Arabidopsis thaliana: one gene and its partners. The protein of the gene in region 2 interacts with the protein of the main gene of each other region in a pairwise test. Each region holds a gene or a part of one and is shown on either strand. Other genes may lie near its edges. The genes, in order: GATA6, BPC7, PLIM2b and XERICO.

The links.
Region 1: the proteins of BPC7 (region 2) and GATA6 interact in a two-hybrid assay, tested with the Arabidopsis thaliana proteins (one large-scale study listed by BioGRID).
Region 3: the proteins of BPC7 (region 2) and PLIM2b interact in a two-hybrid assay, tested with the Arabidopsis thaliana proteins (one large-scale study listed by BioGRID).
Region 4: the proteins of BPC7 (region 2) and XERICO interact in a two-hybrid assay, tested with the Arabidopsis thaliana proteins (one large-scale study listed by BioGRID).

The regions. Positions count from the first base shown.
Region 1 is NC_003074.8:18,971,280-18,975,459, forward strand, and holds GATA6 (GATA transcription factor 6), read left to right. Parts: upstream 1-1,846; 5' UTR 1,847-2,061; intron 2,062-2,353; 5' UTR 2,354-2,359; coding exon 2,360-2,617; intron 2,618-2,708; coding exon 2,709-3,389; 3' UTR 3,390-3,613; downstream 3,614-4,180. Other genes in the region: AT3G51070 (S-adenosyl-L-methionine-dependent methyltransferases superfamily protein), read left to right, coding at 1-82, 173-445, 528-722, 805-1,012. UniProt on the Arabidopsis thaliana protein: Transcriptional activator that specifically binds 5'-GATA-3' or 5'-GAT-3' motifs within gene promoters. May be involved in the regulation of some light-responsive genes.
Region 2 is NC_003071.7:14,927,558-14,931,469, reverse strand, and holds BPC7 (basic pentacysteine 7), read right to left. Parts: upstream 2,175-3,912; 5' UTR 1,945-2,174; coding exon 1,858-1,944; intron 1,581-1,857; coding exon 852-1,580; 3' UTR 802-851; coding exon of another isoform or gene 696-801; 3' UTR 578-695; downstream 1-577. Other genes in the region: AT2G35555 (serpin), read left to right, coding at 1-228, 696-801; AT2G35540 (DNAJ heat shock N-terminal domain-containing protein), read right to left, coding at 2,540-3,912. UniProt on the Arabidopsis thaliana protein: Transcriptional regulator that specifically binds to GA-rich elements (GAGA-repeats) present in regulatory sequences of genes involved in developmental processes.
Region 3 is NC_003070.9:280,739-284,778, reverse strand, and holds PLIM2b (GATA type zinc finger transcription factor family protein), read right to left. Parts: upstream 2,019-4,040; 5' UTR 1,861-2,018; coding exon 1,726-1,860; intron 1,648-1,725; coding exon 1,548-1,647; intron 1,466-1,547; coding exon 1,443-1,465; intron 1,336-1,442; coding exon 1,246-1,335; intron 967-1,245; coding exon 697-966; 3' UTR 534-696; downstream 1-533. Other genes in the region: AT1G01770 (propionyl-CoA carboxylase), read right to left, coding at 2,289-2,295, 2,590-3,020, 3,243-3,341, 3,431-3,470, 3,658-3,890. UniProt on the Arabidopsis thaliana protein: Binds to actin filaments and promotes cross-linking into thick bundles. Has an actin-stabilizing activity. The actin regulatory activities are inhibited by pH > 6.8 but are [Ca(2+)] independent.
Region 4 is NC_003071.7:1,461,032-1,464,822, reverse strand, and holds XERICO (RING/U-box superfamily protein), read left to right. Parts: upstream 1-1,878; 5' UTR 1,879-2,010; exon of another isoform or gene 2,011-2,466; 5' UTR 2,467-2,518; coding exon 2,519-3,007; 3' UTR 3,008-3,275; downstream 3,276-3,791. UniProt on the Arabidopsis thaliana protein: Function on abscisic acid homeostasis at post-translational level, probably through ubiquitin/proteasome-dependent substrate-specific degradation.

The DNA of each region.
Region 1 (4,180 bases), on a different chromosome or scaffold from region 2:
CTGCCACCAATGAATGTTACGAGAAAAGAAAGCACAACAAGCCTCCACTGTGCAAAAACAACGACGATGCAAATGCAGCCTGGTATGATTGTTTCCACAATTTGCATAGGGAATGAATAACCATAAGGTTTTAACAGAACAAAGAAAGTCAAAACTTGAATGGAAATTTCAGGTATGTACCCCTACAAGCATGTATGCATAAAGTTCCTACCAATGTGGTCGAGAGAGGAAGCAAGTGGCCCGTGAATTGGCCCCGTCGGCTTCAAACACCGCCTTACTGGTTAAACAGCTCTCAAATGGGGATATATGGGAAACCAGCTCCTCGAGATTTCACTACAGATTATGAACACTGGAAACATGTTGTAAGCAAAGTATACATGAATGAAATAGGAATCAGCTGGTCAAATGTGAGGAATGTAATGGACATGCGAGCTGTCTACGGAGGGTGAGCATCAACGAAAACAAATCAAACTAAAATCTCACTTACCAAAACTAAACCTTTTTTTACTAACTACGTAAAAATGCAGGTTTGCAGCAGCTCTGAAGGACCTACAGGTGTGGGTAATGAATGTAGTAAACATAAATTCACCAGATACACTACCGATAATCTACGAGAGAGGCCTATTCGGAATATATCATGACTGGTGTGAATCATTTAGCACATACCCTCGAAGCTATGATCTCTTACATGCAGATCATCTTTTCTCAAAGTTGAGAACAAGGTATAAGCGTAACTCATAATATCCACACCTTTTGGTAACGTTTCATCAACAATAAGTCTCTTGTTTTGTTTTGTTTTGAAAGGTGCAATCTTGTTCCAGTAATGGCAGAAGTGGATAGAATAGTAAGACCAGGAGGTAAACTAATAGTTCGTGACGAATCAAATGTGATAAGAGAAGTTGAGAACATGTTGAAGTCACTGCACTGGGATGTTCACTTAACTTTCTCCAAACACCAAGAAGGAATCTTAAGTGCACAAAAAGGATTCTGGAGACCAGAAACTTCTCAATGAAAGACGCTCTGAGAATCTGCATTTGAAAGTAGCAGAAGCATCATTATAATACAACACACTACTCATATCTATAATCCCCAAAAGAATTTGTCAGTATAAGAAATAGCTTTAGTCTTCTTAAACTATATAGACTAATTAGAACATTTTTGTTTTCCTTACTTCATATTGCTTTTTTTAACATGGTTATGATATTCTCTTGTAAGGCTATGAATCATTTCACTGGGAAAAGTAAGGCACACCAATAAATGAAATTTTGTTCCAACAAGTAGAAACATAGCAGTAATGAAGAAGAGATTATGATGCTTTAGCGATACCACAAGCCAAATTCACCATAAGCTATTGACAGGTAGCGAAAAGTCAAATTACAAAAGGAATAAAGTAGACATGAAATGAAACCAACAATCTTAAGCCCACATATGAATTCAAAAGAGAGGTTAAGAAAGAAGAGAATCTGACATCATGGGCAGAGTAGGAGCTGAAGAAGATGGGTTTCTGCAAATTTGAAGCTTTTAATCGCATATCGCTGAGTAATCATCACAAACAGTTTTGAATTGAAGAAGACGGGAGGAGAAAAGCCATTGTTAATGAGATACCCAAATCGTAAAATTTCAGAAAGCCCAGCCCAACATAGCCCAATACAGCCCAAATATGTATGTGATTGGGTAACGAAAACGAGACCGTTCTTTTTTCAGTCATCTCTCGTTTCACAGTAGCGCGTATGTACGCTTTGAATTTACAAAAAGTAGACATTTTTATGAATTTTTGCCGGTTGAGTAAAAAGGTAAAAAAAAATAGTTCCCACCAAAGCAAAATATTTCAATTTTTATCTTTTTTTTTTGGTTCTTGGGAAAATAAGAGATTGAGAAAGAATAAAGAAGAGAAACTCACAACTTTTTTAGTTTTAGGAGAAGAGGGCTTTGGTCTGGAGTCACTATCATATTCAATGCTTTACCAAACTCACCTCTTCTTCTAAATTCTCACCACTCTTCTTCTTCTTCTCATTCACCGACATATCTCCTCTCTTCACTCTCTGTCTCTTCTCATCTCAGGTAATTCCAATTTTAGTTTTTTTTGAAGGTTACTTACTCGTCACATTGTTTGAAAAAGATTGAATTTTTATCTGTGGCTTAGTCAAATCATGGTTCGTTTCACCAAGTTGTGGTTCTGGGTTTTCGTGATTTTTCTTTTGGGTTTTTCTGTTTGAATTTGGAAAAATAAAGGAACGTTTTTTTTTTCGGGGGGAGTTTTTTTTTTAAAGATAATTTTTGGAGAGTTTTTGATAATTCTGAGGAAGCCAAAAGAAAAGAAGAAAACCTAATTTGTGTTGGTGGGGTTTGATAGGAAATAATGGAGAGTGTTGAATTGACGTTGAAGAACAGTAACATGAAAGACAAAACCCTAACCGGCGGCGCTCAAAATGGCGATGATTTCTCCGTCGACGACTTGCTTGACTTCTCAAAAGAAGAAGAAGACGACGACGTTTTGGTTGAGGATGAGGCTGAATTGAAAGTACAACGAAAAAGAGGAGTCTCTGACGAAAATACCCTTCACCGGAGCAACGATTTCTCCACCGCTGATTTCCACACTAGCGGGCTTTCCGTTCCGGTATGAATTTGTGTTTTCATTTTCGCAAAATTTATAAAAATTATCAGTCATTGCATTGTTAATTTCTTGCTTTTCATGTTTTGATTGTTAGATGGATGATATAGCGGAACTTGAATGGTTATCAAATTTCGTAGATGATTCTTCTTTCACGCCGTATTCTGCTCCGACGAATAAACCGGTTTGGTTAACCGGAAATCGGAGACATCTTGTACAACCGGTTAAAGAGGAGACCTGCTTCAAATCCCAACATCCGGCCGTCAAAACCAGACCCAAACGAGCCAGAACCGGAGTCAGAGTCTGGTCTCATGGTTCGCAGTCGTTAACCGACTCATCTTCAAGCTCTACAACATCTTCGTCGTCCTCTCCTCGTCCTTCAAGCCCTCTATGGCTCGCCAGCGGTCAGTTTCTTGATGAGCCAATGACTAAAACACAAAAGAAGAAGAAAGTTTGGAAAAACGCTGGTCAGACGCAAACGCAAACGCAGACGCAGACGCGGCAGTGTGGTCATTGTGGAGTTCAGAAAACGCCGCAGTGGAGAGCAGGACCATTAGGAGCGAAGACGTTGTGTAATGCGTGTGGTGTGCGTTACAAATCGGGTCGGTTACTACCCGAATATAGACCCGCTTGTAGCCCAACATTTTCGAGTGAGCTTCACTCAAACCACCACAGTAAAGTCATTGAGATGCGTAGGAAGAAAGAGACTTCTGACGGTGCTGAAGAAACCGGTTTGAACCAGCCGGTTCAGACGGTTCAGGTTGTCTCGAGTTTTTGAAGAAATTGTGGAAGGTTTTTAAAGGAGCAGAATTAGGATCCGACCCGGTTCAGATTTATCACCAGTTAGTATGTTAACGGGTTATGTATGTTTTAAATTACAAATTTGATTTTTTGTTTGTTAGTCGTAGTAGGTTTTTAGATTTAGTAACTGGTTAAAACTTTTAAAACTCTTACTATTATATTTGTTTTGTTTCGCATTAATTTTCAGAATTCTTTTTTTCTTAACCTCCTCTAACGTTATATTTACGTTATAATATATAGTTTTTATATTAATTGATAGAGATGGTTCATTTTCTAGTTAGAATGTATGCTCAATAATTATTGGTAGACTGATAGTTATCAAGTGTATAAAATATGAGATCAATTTATACCAAATTAGGAGTAGGCTTTATTTCAGGGTTAGTAACTCCAATTTTTTGTTGTTACTTATTTATATCCATCACATTTTCTCTTGTATTTCTAAAATTGACATAATATAACTGAAAAAAAAAACAAATTTCACAAATAAAAATATATACAATAACTGAAAAAAGAAAAATAAACGTACTGGGCACACTCTCTTATTGACTAATTTATTACTCTGCGTATTTTTGGAGATTGAATACGACCTTAGTTGACGTGATAATATTATCCATTTTTGCAATGTGATAATATTCGTTGACCATATCTTTGAGATTATCACGAATTACCAATTTACCTTGGGACTTTATTCCTCGTATGGTTTTAGTTGAGTTGACTATTAATAATAGCTTTTAGTACGTGTTTCGTAAATGCTGCATAATATGTAAC
Region 2 (3,912 bases):
GAATGGCAAAGAGGACATTCCTAGCCACTGGGCAGATGTAGGAGAACTCAAGATTCCAAGGTTTAAATTTGATTTTGGTTTCGAAGCCTCTGAAGCTCTCAAGGGTTTGGGTTTGGAGGTGCCATCCACTATCATCCACAAATCTTGCATCGAAGTCGATGAAGTGGGATCGAAAGCTGCAGCGGCTGCTGTAATATTTGTTGGTTGTTGTGGTCCTGCGGAGAAGAGGTATGACTTCGTGGCTGATCATCCTTTCCTCTTCCTGGTCAAAGAATACAGAAGCGGACTAATTCTGTTCCTTGGTCAAGTCATGGATCCTTCTAAGCATTAATTTGAGGTCAAAAGTCTCGGGACTTTATGACTTTCTTGACGTATTTGCATCCATGCACAACTTGAGTTGAAAGTTGATTCTAAAGACTTTACTGAATCCTCGTTTTTTTCATCTTTTTAATAGATTTATCTCCTTTTAATTTGGTATGAGTGTGAAGTCACCTATAATATATATGATGACTGCCTAAGTTTAAGACCATCCCTGCAGGATATTCGTATGAAGTCAAAACAGAGTCTCTTGTTGATTCGCTAATATTCATTTCTTATTGAAATTTATTTGTGAATTCCAAAGCAATGTGTTGCATGACCGAAGTTACCCAAGTTCATGCCATAATGTGTTTCCACGACTGTTGGGATTTTTGCAGGAAATATACTCTACTTCAGGGGAAACAAGTAAAGGATACCTCTACTATAGCAAATACAGTACTCCCAAATATATACCAAAAGGCTAAGACTGTGAAAAGGACTTAAAAAGAAGCCACAAAAGCTAATATCTAAATCAAACCCAACTAATGAAACGACTACTTGATGGTCACAAACTTGTTAGTACCGTGTCTGGCCCAATGGTTCTTGAGATCAAGAGGGTGAGAGAGGTCATAGCCTTCGTCCGCAAGCCTCGCAAGGAGCTTAACATAAGCACCATTGCTCATTTTTCTTCCTGCAAGACGAGCTCCAGGTCTTGTTGTGCTCATGGGTAGTGGGTATGTCGATATGCTGATGGTACAACATGAGGATTGCCAACCGCCCATGCCCCATTTGTAGCAAACCCTTGAAACGCCTGTACATGAACATACAGGAGGAGGAACCCCAGAAGTATCAAAGCTTGAGATGTCAATGTTGATGTCCAGATTCTTTTTCTCACGTTTTGTTTCTGGTATGCTAGGTGTTTTCTTTGACTTGTTGGATACAGAGCGTTTCTTCCTTTGCGGTTTTGGCTTCAAAGCTTTCGAAGGAGACTGATTTACGGACTTCTGTTTCACAGTTTCAGTATCGTTTCTGGAATCTCTAATAGGAGGAGGAAACAAATGAGATTGAGGCACCATCACACCTTCAGCAGGAGGTTCCTGAGAAAGATCAATGCCTGTGGTCTTTGGAACGGCGATACATGAATGTAACCAATGAGCATTAGACGTACGCAAGCCTGAGTCCTTGTTTGCGTTTGTAGCAGATAGCATAAGGTTTTGTGCAGGAAATGAATTCATCTTGATAGCTAGTTTCAGTGGAAAGATCACACCTTCGCGTTGCAGCTCCTACATCATTTCAAAAGCAGATAAGATGAGCCAACACCTCCAAACAACAATTGATACTAAGTACTAACATTATTAAGCAACACACAGATGCAGAAGCAACCTACATGCTCTACTTACAGAGAATATAATCTATAGTTTACTTCCAGTATCAGTTTTCAATCAAAAGACAGAGATTTTACAAGACAGAATCTGATATGCATAAGTCTAAATAAGCAAACTTGATAATTGAAACCCAGATAGTCAGAACAGATAAAACAGAGATATAAAGACTACATACGTAGAGGAAAAGATTTGATCTTTCAAGATTGTTTGATTGAAAATCGGCAAACCCAGAAGAGTTAACGAAAGAAGAATCAAGACCCATATGCGGAAAAAATTAACTCGCTACAATAAACCATGCAAAATCAAAAACCTGTGACTAGGGTTCCAAAAGAATCATACGGCAGAAACAGAGTCGACACCAAAAAAAGAGTGATCTTTCGGCTTACGCAAACGAGAAAAATCGTCGGAGTTACCAGTGGCGACACTCCACCGCTATGCTCTCGCTCACTCTGCGCACTCTTTCTCTCTCAAACCTCTGATGGACGAAATAATTCACTTTGAGGCCTTGAGAATTTCTAGGGCTCACCGATTTTTAAACTCCGTTTCTTTTTGCCCCACGCGAAATTTATGCATATATTTTAAACAATATAAAATTCTTAAGTTTACAATTAGTCAATTAGATAATTAAACTTTGAAAATTTATTTTTTTGCCACTAAGATTTGGTAATATAACACAATATTTAACTTATCTATGCAATTTATAAACTTGTGGGAAAGTCTTTGGACTTTGGGTTTGGGCACTAAATATAGTTGATCTAAACTAATATGATTAAGTTAGACAAATATAGACATGAAGTGCTTGTTTCTCTTTGTCATGAGATGATGAGAAACAGAAAACAAAGAAGTGTCTATGTTCACTAAGTGGCAGAAACCAAATCAGGAGGAACAGAAGCAAGATCAAGCACCCAAGACTCTTTCAGATCAGCTCCAGATTCATCTTCAGGCAGCTTCTTGGCCGGAATCTGATGAGAGAGCAAGGCTGCAACATCTTCTTTCTCGACCCACCTGACTGCATTATACCCGTAATCCCGTCTCTTGAACAGGTTGCTATAGTCGTTAACCTTCTCCAAATATGCTACACTTAATCCATATGCATCAGTATACATTGTCAAGCATACGACAATCTCATAGCGTCTGGTCTTTCTTCTCTGAAGACCTGGATTTGTCTCTGAGTAGACTGCCCAAACCGAGCCTTTCTTTGGATATATTTGGTATATTTCTCGTGCAGCCCTTTCGCAGTTGACAAGGTGAGAGAATGGTTTCACTTGTTCTATCAAAGCTTTCTCTGAAACCCGGAACCTACCACAAGGCATATGAGAAGAACTAATCTTCATCCAAGAGATTAGTTTCTCGCTCTCAAAATCCAACCAGCTGATCCATACCTTAAAAGGATTCAAAGAGACTACTTCACTAACTAAACAGTAACTCCGAGGCATTTTGTCATCACCACCATCATATATCGCCCAAATCTGCCCTTTCTTGAAGCTCCTCGGCATCCGGTCCTTATCAAAATCATACAGTTCAAAATCCTCGTCTTCCATATACATTTCTTGGCTTAACTTACCACGATCCCTCTTCCTATCAACCCGAGGCACGTATTCTAAATCCACTATCTCAGTTAAATCCTTGTGGTTCGCCATCTTCTTCTTCTTTATATTCTTCCTATTCTTTAAAACTTCTTGTTTATTATTCACTGCGTTAGTACTCATCTCCCTTAACGTTTCAGTCATGGAGGCATCAGCTAAAGATCTCTTCTGCGTTTCCCTTCCCATGTTTTCTTCTCCACTGCTATCTTTCTCAGTGATCTTCGAATTCACCTTCGACTTATTTCTCTTTATCACCGCTTGCATTTCTGCCAAAGTCATCATCCCTTCATCCTCTTCATCCGACCCCTCAAATACATTAATAGCTTCTGCTGCTTCCTGACTCATCTCCCCTGTCTCAACTTCTTTTATCAGACTTTCACCATCGCTATCAACAGGCCTCTTCCTCCTACTATATGTTATGATCTTGGAAGTACAAGCTCCATTTTCTCTACCCTCTTCTTCCTTCTCAACTTCCTTCGCCTCAAAACTATTCTTGCAAGTAGGGCACATCAAATTTTGTCCTAAATACTTCCTATCAAACTTATGCACCGACCTACAACCCGAACAAACCGCCGAAAACGTTGACGTTTCATCACCACCAGAACCACCGCTAACCATTTCCCCCTGAATCCTAATCCTCAACT
Region 3 (4,040 bases), on a different chromosome or scaffold from region 2:
CGGAAATCAAATAAAAAAAGTAGCCTTACTTTATTCCTCGAACCTTATATACAACTCCTGTGAAGCAAAACGAAATTCCACACATTCAGACGACCAAGATAAAAAAAATCAACGACAAGCCACGGACAGATAGAGAGGCTAACCAATCATGGAAAGTTGAGTAAGAATGGAAGAAAGGTGGAAACGGAAAGGAGTGGCTCTCGTCTTCAATTCCGTTCGTTTCAAACAGATAATTTTGGCTCGTCTCTTCAAATTTTCCCAGTCAAACAACTTTCTCTGTCTCCTCCTTTTTGAGTTTCTCGCCAACCAGACATCATTGCTAAGGCCGTTTTTAGATACTTTTACGAAAACACCCTCTCTCACCTAACGAAATAATGAATGATTCACATCACCCGATAACCACTTGGTTTGATCCGGTATATAAGTAGTTTGGTATCTTTGAACCGAACAGATATTACATCGAATATCATCATCACCATCGGAAAGCATATCATAAGCAGCACACATAGAGTGAAAAAACATCAATTCTTGCCTTTTTTTCGTGTGTAATAATAAATGTATAACGAATGAATTAAAAAAATAACAAAAAAAATCATGTCTTCATATGGAAACAACTCATTACAAATGAAATCAAATCTTTCCCCCGCAACAACATTCATTCAATCATTCACTCAAAAACACTCATGTAAGAGATATTCAAGACTCTGAAACGCCATTCTCTTCCTTGGCCTCCACGGCGACGTCTTCGGTAGGTTCCGGTGGAAGAGTGTTGCCTGAGGCTGTGCGACGGTGATTGGCGGCTTGGAGGACGTGAGCGTAGTTTCCTTTCTCCATGAAGAGTTGGTTAAAGTGATGTCGGCAATAGAGAACGCTATCTAAGGAGGCGTAGGAGGAGTGAGTCAGCGTACACCCACCGTGAGCGCACCGGAAACATGTCTTGTGGAAGCATTCTCCTTCCATTTGTATCTGTTACCAAATAACCCGATTAGAACCAAGCCAAAATTGATTCCACATTTGCTTGGACCAACCAACATCACGTTCTCAAATCGAACCAAAAGTATACTAAACCAAACCAAAATCAAAATTTTATTTCCATTTGATCTAGTAATGATTTTATCCGAACAGAAAAATTCTACGGAAATGAAAAAACAAAAAACAAATTCTAGAGCAAATAAATTTCTCTACGAGACTAGTTCGTTGGTATTTTAGGCCATGAGAACATTTGCAGATGCGTATACCACTAACCTTTTCAAGAGGGTAAACAGTTTTTTCGCAAGCGGCACACTTGTCTTGTGTTCCACAGAAGATGGAAGATATCTTGCTGGGAGTCCTAGTCTGTAATGTTTAAATCAGTACACAGATCCTATTAGTCGATCATAAAAGAAAGAAAATGAAATATTGACACGCTAATCATATACAAGGACATGTAATGATGAACCTACCAGCTCTGGCTTCTCAGTTTTTCCTGAGAAAAGAAAGAGACTTGTTATGATCATGATGATTTGAAAGATAGAGAGATTCGATGTCAGAGATTTTATAATACGAACCTGGTTGAAAGTTTTTGCTGAAATTGCCAGATTCCTTGAAGAGTTGCTCAAAATGAGTCTTGCAGTACAAAACTCCGTCCATGGAGGAATAGTTGCTCATCTGCCATCAACACATAGATAAATTGTTGATATAATATGATCATAGAAGATCTAACAAGAAAATGAGTAATGAGTGCACCTGAAGGGTTCCTTTGCAATGGGTACACCTGAAGCAAGACTTGTGGTAAGGCATTCCTTCAATGGACAACATGTCCACCACATAGACTGTCTTATCACAAACATTGCATTTGTCGAGAGTTCCTGTGAAAGACATTTTTTTTGTTTTATCTTTTTTTTTTTTGGTTTTTTTTTGGTTGTTGTTGTTTCCTTCCTTCTCCAAGATCCTGTATGAAACAGATTTTTTAATTTTTTTTCCAACAAATCAAGAGGTCATCTGAGGAATTAGTTAAAGAAGGAAACCTTTACCTCAGACAACGGAGGAACCTGCGAAATTTCTGTCCTCTTTTATATGAAACTTTGTTGCAATTGTGAGGTTGTAACGGAGGAAGGTTTTTTCCTTTTTTTCTTTCTCTCTCTCTCTCTCTCTCTCTTTGATCTTTTTTGCAAAATGAATGAGATAAAATTGGGTGGCAAAGTGATTGGAGTTGAGCAAAAGAAGGGTTGTGGTTTCTGACAATTTCAATCCAATAAGGGATTGTTACTTTAAGCCAACTGTCTCTGAGGTGGTGCAACCCATGTCAGTCAGATCCTGCAAAAGAATATAACAACAACCTAACATTACACAAATATATAATATCATTCTCTCTCAATCAAAACAATGCTTTTAATACTTATCTGTATGCGTATCTATCAAGATATCCAGTTGTAAATTAAAGTAATTTTAATGTATAGAAGTAAAAGAAAGTGAAGCACCACTAAGTCGATTCCTTCTTTTTCTATTATCTTTTAGAACTATAGTGTAGTTCAAGTCTCCCTTTTTATTAACATATTACCACAGAATTTGAATAGAAAAATCTGATATGCAAAGTTAAAGTAGTCTTACAACACAACTTGTTGACACAAGATGAGATCTGAGATTGTCTTTCCGTGTCGGTCGATCCTCCTGGAACAGTTGACTCCACCATCTAATATGTTCCGTACGACAACATTCATAGCATGAATGCCTTCAACGTCATATATCTCTACTGACACATTTTCATCCATTGGTTTTGCATCCAATTCCAGAAACGAAGAGGTTGATAACAGAACTGACATCACATGCTTTACCCATTGAGGAGTAATTATGAGTTTCAGACGCTCGACATCTGGGGAATAATGCGGGATTATTGAGAAGTTTATGTCGTTTCCTTTATCGCCAGCCCGGCTATGTGCAACAGAGTAGAGTGGGATCTTTTGGCCAGATGGAGCAGGAGAGTGATGAAATCCAGATTGATAGCCTCTCATTGTAAGGTTCTTTGGATTTTCCTTAGGTAACTACAAATGGAAGTAATAACAAGGTGTTAATACAAATGCACATGTTAGAGTTCTTTCACATTTTCAGCTTTCAAATAGTAAAACATATCTATCAGTCATCAGAGTTAGTTTGATGTTCGAACACACTAGGATTGATTCACCAAGGAATTTGAATTCAGGTCATGTTTATTTCCATTATCTATCAGTCATCACAATTAGTTTAGTAAGAACTCTCGAGCTAACCTTTGGCATTTTCTCTGGAGAATGATGTTCAGAGGTCTCTGGCTCTGAAGTGTTGGTGTGCTGAAGTCCAGTTTTCCACATTACAGATTCACGGCTGACCTGGATAACCAAACATATAACATCAGAATCCGTAAAATTGATTGATGCAAGGCTATATTAGTTTAAATTTTTTGATGGAGACGACCTACCAAACGCTTTTCAAGAACAATTTCCATCTTGTGTCCGGTACTGCATATAATTTACAAGCAGTTTTGTCAAACCAAAAAGACCACCCCGAATCTCATAACAAATAACTAGTTTCAATACATTGTCCCTAGTCATAAGATGTCTCAACTCAACAGGATTTGGTACTACTGTAAAGCTACAATTAGCATTGGATTGATATATGGAGCGAACATCAACGTGAAGAAATTACCTAATTCCACCACCACCAGCTGGTCCGTTTGTATATAGAGCAGTAAACTCTTTTGTTAACTGGACCGCATGTTCCTTCAGTTTAAAAAGACCATCCATACGTAATCTAATATCTCCACATGACTGCCAAGATTCAGTGCCGTTGCTTGTCGCCTTCAAGCTATCAACCCCAATCACATAAGAAAGAATACAATGGTTAACACCAGGAATGGTTTCTTCCATCCAAGATCGAACCTGAAAGAAAGAAGGAAAAAACACAAGTAAAATACGTACATACACTTGATAAGAAATGAACTCCAATTTAAGGCACCATAAGGAGTCATTTCAAGCGACGATGGGGCCAAAAAATGCTACTACATCATAGACATATTAATCATAGGCGCA
Region 4 (3,791 bases), about 13 Mb from region 2:
ATATCGGGTTTATCGGTACCATGTTTGAGTATCGAGTAATCTCCGACCCGAACCGATATCCACAGGTTTACCAAAACCATACCTAATAAGGTAACTTCCTATTCGTCTAATCCGCTTCAACCCGATTATTTTTATCCGGGTATCGATTTCGATATTGGGTCTGGGTTTTTTTTGCAGCCCTAATTATTTCATTACAAGTAAATTAAAAATATATCCACATCCATCTTTGAAACAATATCTCAATTTCTTAAACTTAAGCAACTACATCAAGATCCACCGTGTTTAAATTGACTTTATATTAAAAACAAAAAGTTTGGTAAAATTAGTCTTCAGCTAGGATAACAACAAAAATATATACTTAGGGTACAAGTGATAGTTTTTGTTAGATGGATTAATATGGTAAACCAAAATATTTATATGCAATTTGCTAAAATTTCCCTTTTTGCATTGAAAATATAAAAAGAAATAGCCTTTAATTACCTGAAAATGGATTTATTTAAAAGAGAAGTTTTTCTGTGTTGTGTTGTATACAAATGAATCAAATCAAATTATTCAGTAAGTTTCCATATTTCATTCATCTTTATTCCATTCATTTTTTTCATATTAAAAGAGAATACAGTCTCTGTAATGGTTTCCGATTTTTTTCCTTAACTAGGTTCTTAATTTGTTTGAATCTTATTGTACTTCCAAAATTAACAAAAACAATTATATTTGATTTTGTGTTTCTATGTTTTTGTTTTTGGTCTTTAAAATCTCCAATATTATTTATTGGCCTTTTTCATGGTACGTAGTTGATAACTTGATACTTAAATAGACTACTAAAGCAAAAATATAATCCCTATTTTATTGGTTTTTAGTTTACTTTCGCTTAAAAACTGAGACATATATTGGATACGAAAACAAAAGGTAAAATATTTTCAAATATTAAATAAAAAATTTAGCTGAAAATTTACAAACTATAAATAACATAATATACCTGAAGCCAACCATATGCTAAGAATATTTACATAAAATACCTTAAATCGAATATAATCTATATGGGTAATTATATCCAAAAATATCACGAAATATTATTTCGTTGATGATAGACTTTAAAAATTGCATATTATGTACAGAAATACAATTACCGAACAGGAATAATTTTTTGATTACATTGACCACATAATATAACAAAACACTAATATTGTTTTGATAAATATTTGATGTTTTAGGAACAAAATACATGATGTTTTCAACTTTCAATATAAAATTAATTAATATACTTTTTTGGGTTTAGAGGTTTCTATTCTGTAAATTGTATTTTTTTTTCCTGTAGATTGTATTACTATTGGTCGATTAAATGGATAATAAATTAATTTTAGTTTGGAAATAAAAACAAATAAATGAATCCTTAAACATCAACTATAAAAAGACAGAGGAGTATCTTTAAAGAAACTTGGATTGTGATATTGCACTGTAAATAGAACATAAAATGTTGCAGTGTAACTTTATTTTAATCAAATAAACAAATGTTAGTAAAAAAAAATATATATGTTGCAAACAAGGATTAAATTCACTAGTAAATTCTCATTAACAAACAAACAAAAACAAAAACAAAAACAAAGATAGTGCCAAGCATTACATATATAAACAATAAAAAGACCCTACTTATTAATATCTTTCCTTAAAGAAACATGGATTATTATCATTTTGGCAGTGTATGAAGTAATAAATATAAACAAAATGAAATAAGAAAATGCAAGCAAGTACAATTGATGATATAAAGTAACCATGGTTAATCAAAAAAACCTGAAAGACTGAAATAGAGTTAACCATAGTTAAGCTTCTCTGGTTAAAAGATAATTGCTTTGCTATATATTAAACAACAATTGGAACCTCCTCTTTTATCAAAACCAACTCTCTCTACACACTTTTTCAGATTCCATCATCACTTGTTCTTTTCACACCCAATAAAAACTTGCATCTTTCTTCTAAATTGTTGATGATCGCTTCTCATATTTGACCCTAGAGGTTCGTACTTTTCTCTCTTTTCACTAAAGTTTCGATTTTTTTCCCCAATTTTTAGCCCCAGAATTGATTCAGAGTGAAGAGATTTCAAATTGGTTTCATAAAGTTTGCATCTTTTAGAGGTTTTGATCTGTGTTTCTTGATTTAGAGTCAGATTTTGTGTTTGGTACGAATCAAAGGCTTGAGCTTTTGGTTTGATGGTTGTAGAAATTGAATAAAGATCTGTTCTTGAATCCTTTTGATACTGATTAGTGTTAATTTGAATTAAAGCTTTGTGCTTTGGTTTCGATTTGCTAAGCTTTAGAGTTAATTTCTGTTTCTGGATCATAATATGAGACCTTCAAGTCTCTTGCTTGCTCATACTAATCATAGATTGTCATTGAAATCTATGTGCTTTGGTTGGAATGTCTTGAAGTTTTCATATGTTGTGAGCTAATAGCCCTTAATGGTGTTTTTCAGACAACATCATTTCTACCGACAAAGATTTGATATCGAATCCAACAAGTGAAAGATGGGTCTATCAAGTCTTCCTGGTCCATCAGAAGGAATGTTATGTGTGATATTAGTTAATACAGCATTATCGATCTCCATTGTCAAAGGCATTGTAAGATCATTCCTTGGCATAGTAGGAATCAGTCTCTCGCCGTCTTCATCCTCGCCTTCTTCGGTGACGGTATCTTCAGAGAATTCATCAACTTCAGAGTCATTTGATTTCCGGGTCTGCCAACCAGAGAGTTACCTTGAGGAGTTCAGGAACCGGACTCCGACACTGAGGTTTGAGAGCTTGTGCAGGTGCAAGAAACAGGCAGACAATGAGTGTTCTGTGTGTTTGTCGAAATTCCAAGGGGATTCAGAGATCAACAAGCTCAAGTGCGGCCATTTGTTTCACAAAACATGCTTGGAGAAATGGATAGACTATTGGAACATCACTTGCCCATTGTGTAGGACTCCTCTTGTTGTTGTGCCAGAAGACCATCAGCTTTCTTCTAATGTTTGGTGACTGCTTTTCACTGTATAGGTTTTTTGTTTGAGTGTGTTTGTTGTGTACAGCTACTTTTACTATGAATTAGGTTGCATCGCGGTTGATTCTCGAGCAGATTTAAACCGGGGATGGGATAATCTGATGTACATATATATATATACCCATGTGTATGGAGCTCTTGTTTGAACACAGTTTTCTTGAATCTATGTGTATGTGTGTGGATTAAGAGTTCATGTTCAGTCTTATGAGCAACTAAGCTAATCAAAAAGTAGTATTTTAATAGTTACATTTTTCGTAACCAAAAAGAAACAAAATGCAAGAAATAGACAAGACATTAGTATCCATAAACGACGTTGTTTTGTTCAAACAGATCAAATAAATAAGACATTAACACCGTAAAAAATTTTTGTTAACCTATTTAACGATATGACTCAAATGGCAAGTCAACAAAAACTTTGTCATTTGTTTCCAAAGTCAACAAAAACTTTACGATTTATTTGTCTTACGTGAAGTTCAAGATTAAATCATCCCAAATTTGAAAGTTCGTGATTTTTTTGACATTTTTCCCCATTAGGAATCAGCTTGTAGTATTGTCAGGTGGTGGAAGATCTAGATTTCAAGGCGAAAATTCGAAAAGAAAACGCCATAAATTTCGTAGCGAATACTTGTTTCGGGGTGTAAAAAAGAAAAGTAAAATTAGATAAAGAAAATATAATGTTATTCAAAGAGTAGAAAAATGTGTATACCATTGAGATTTTAGGTGTTGTGAGTAACTGATATGATATATAACCAAGAAAGTAAA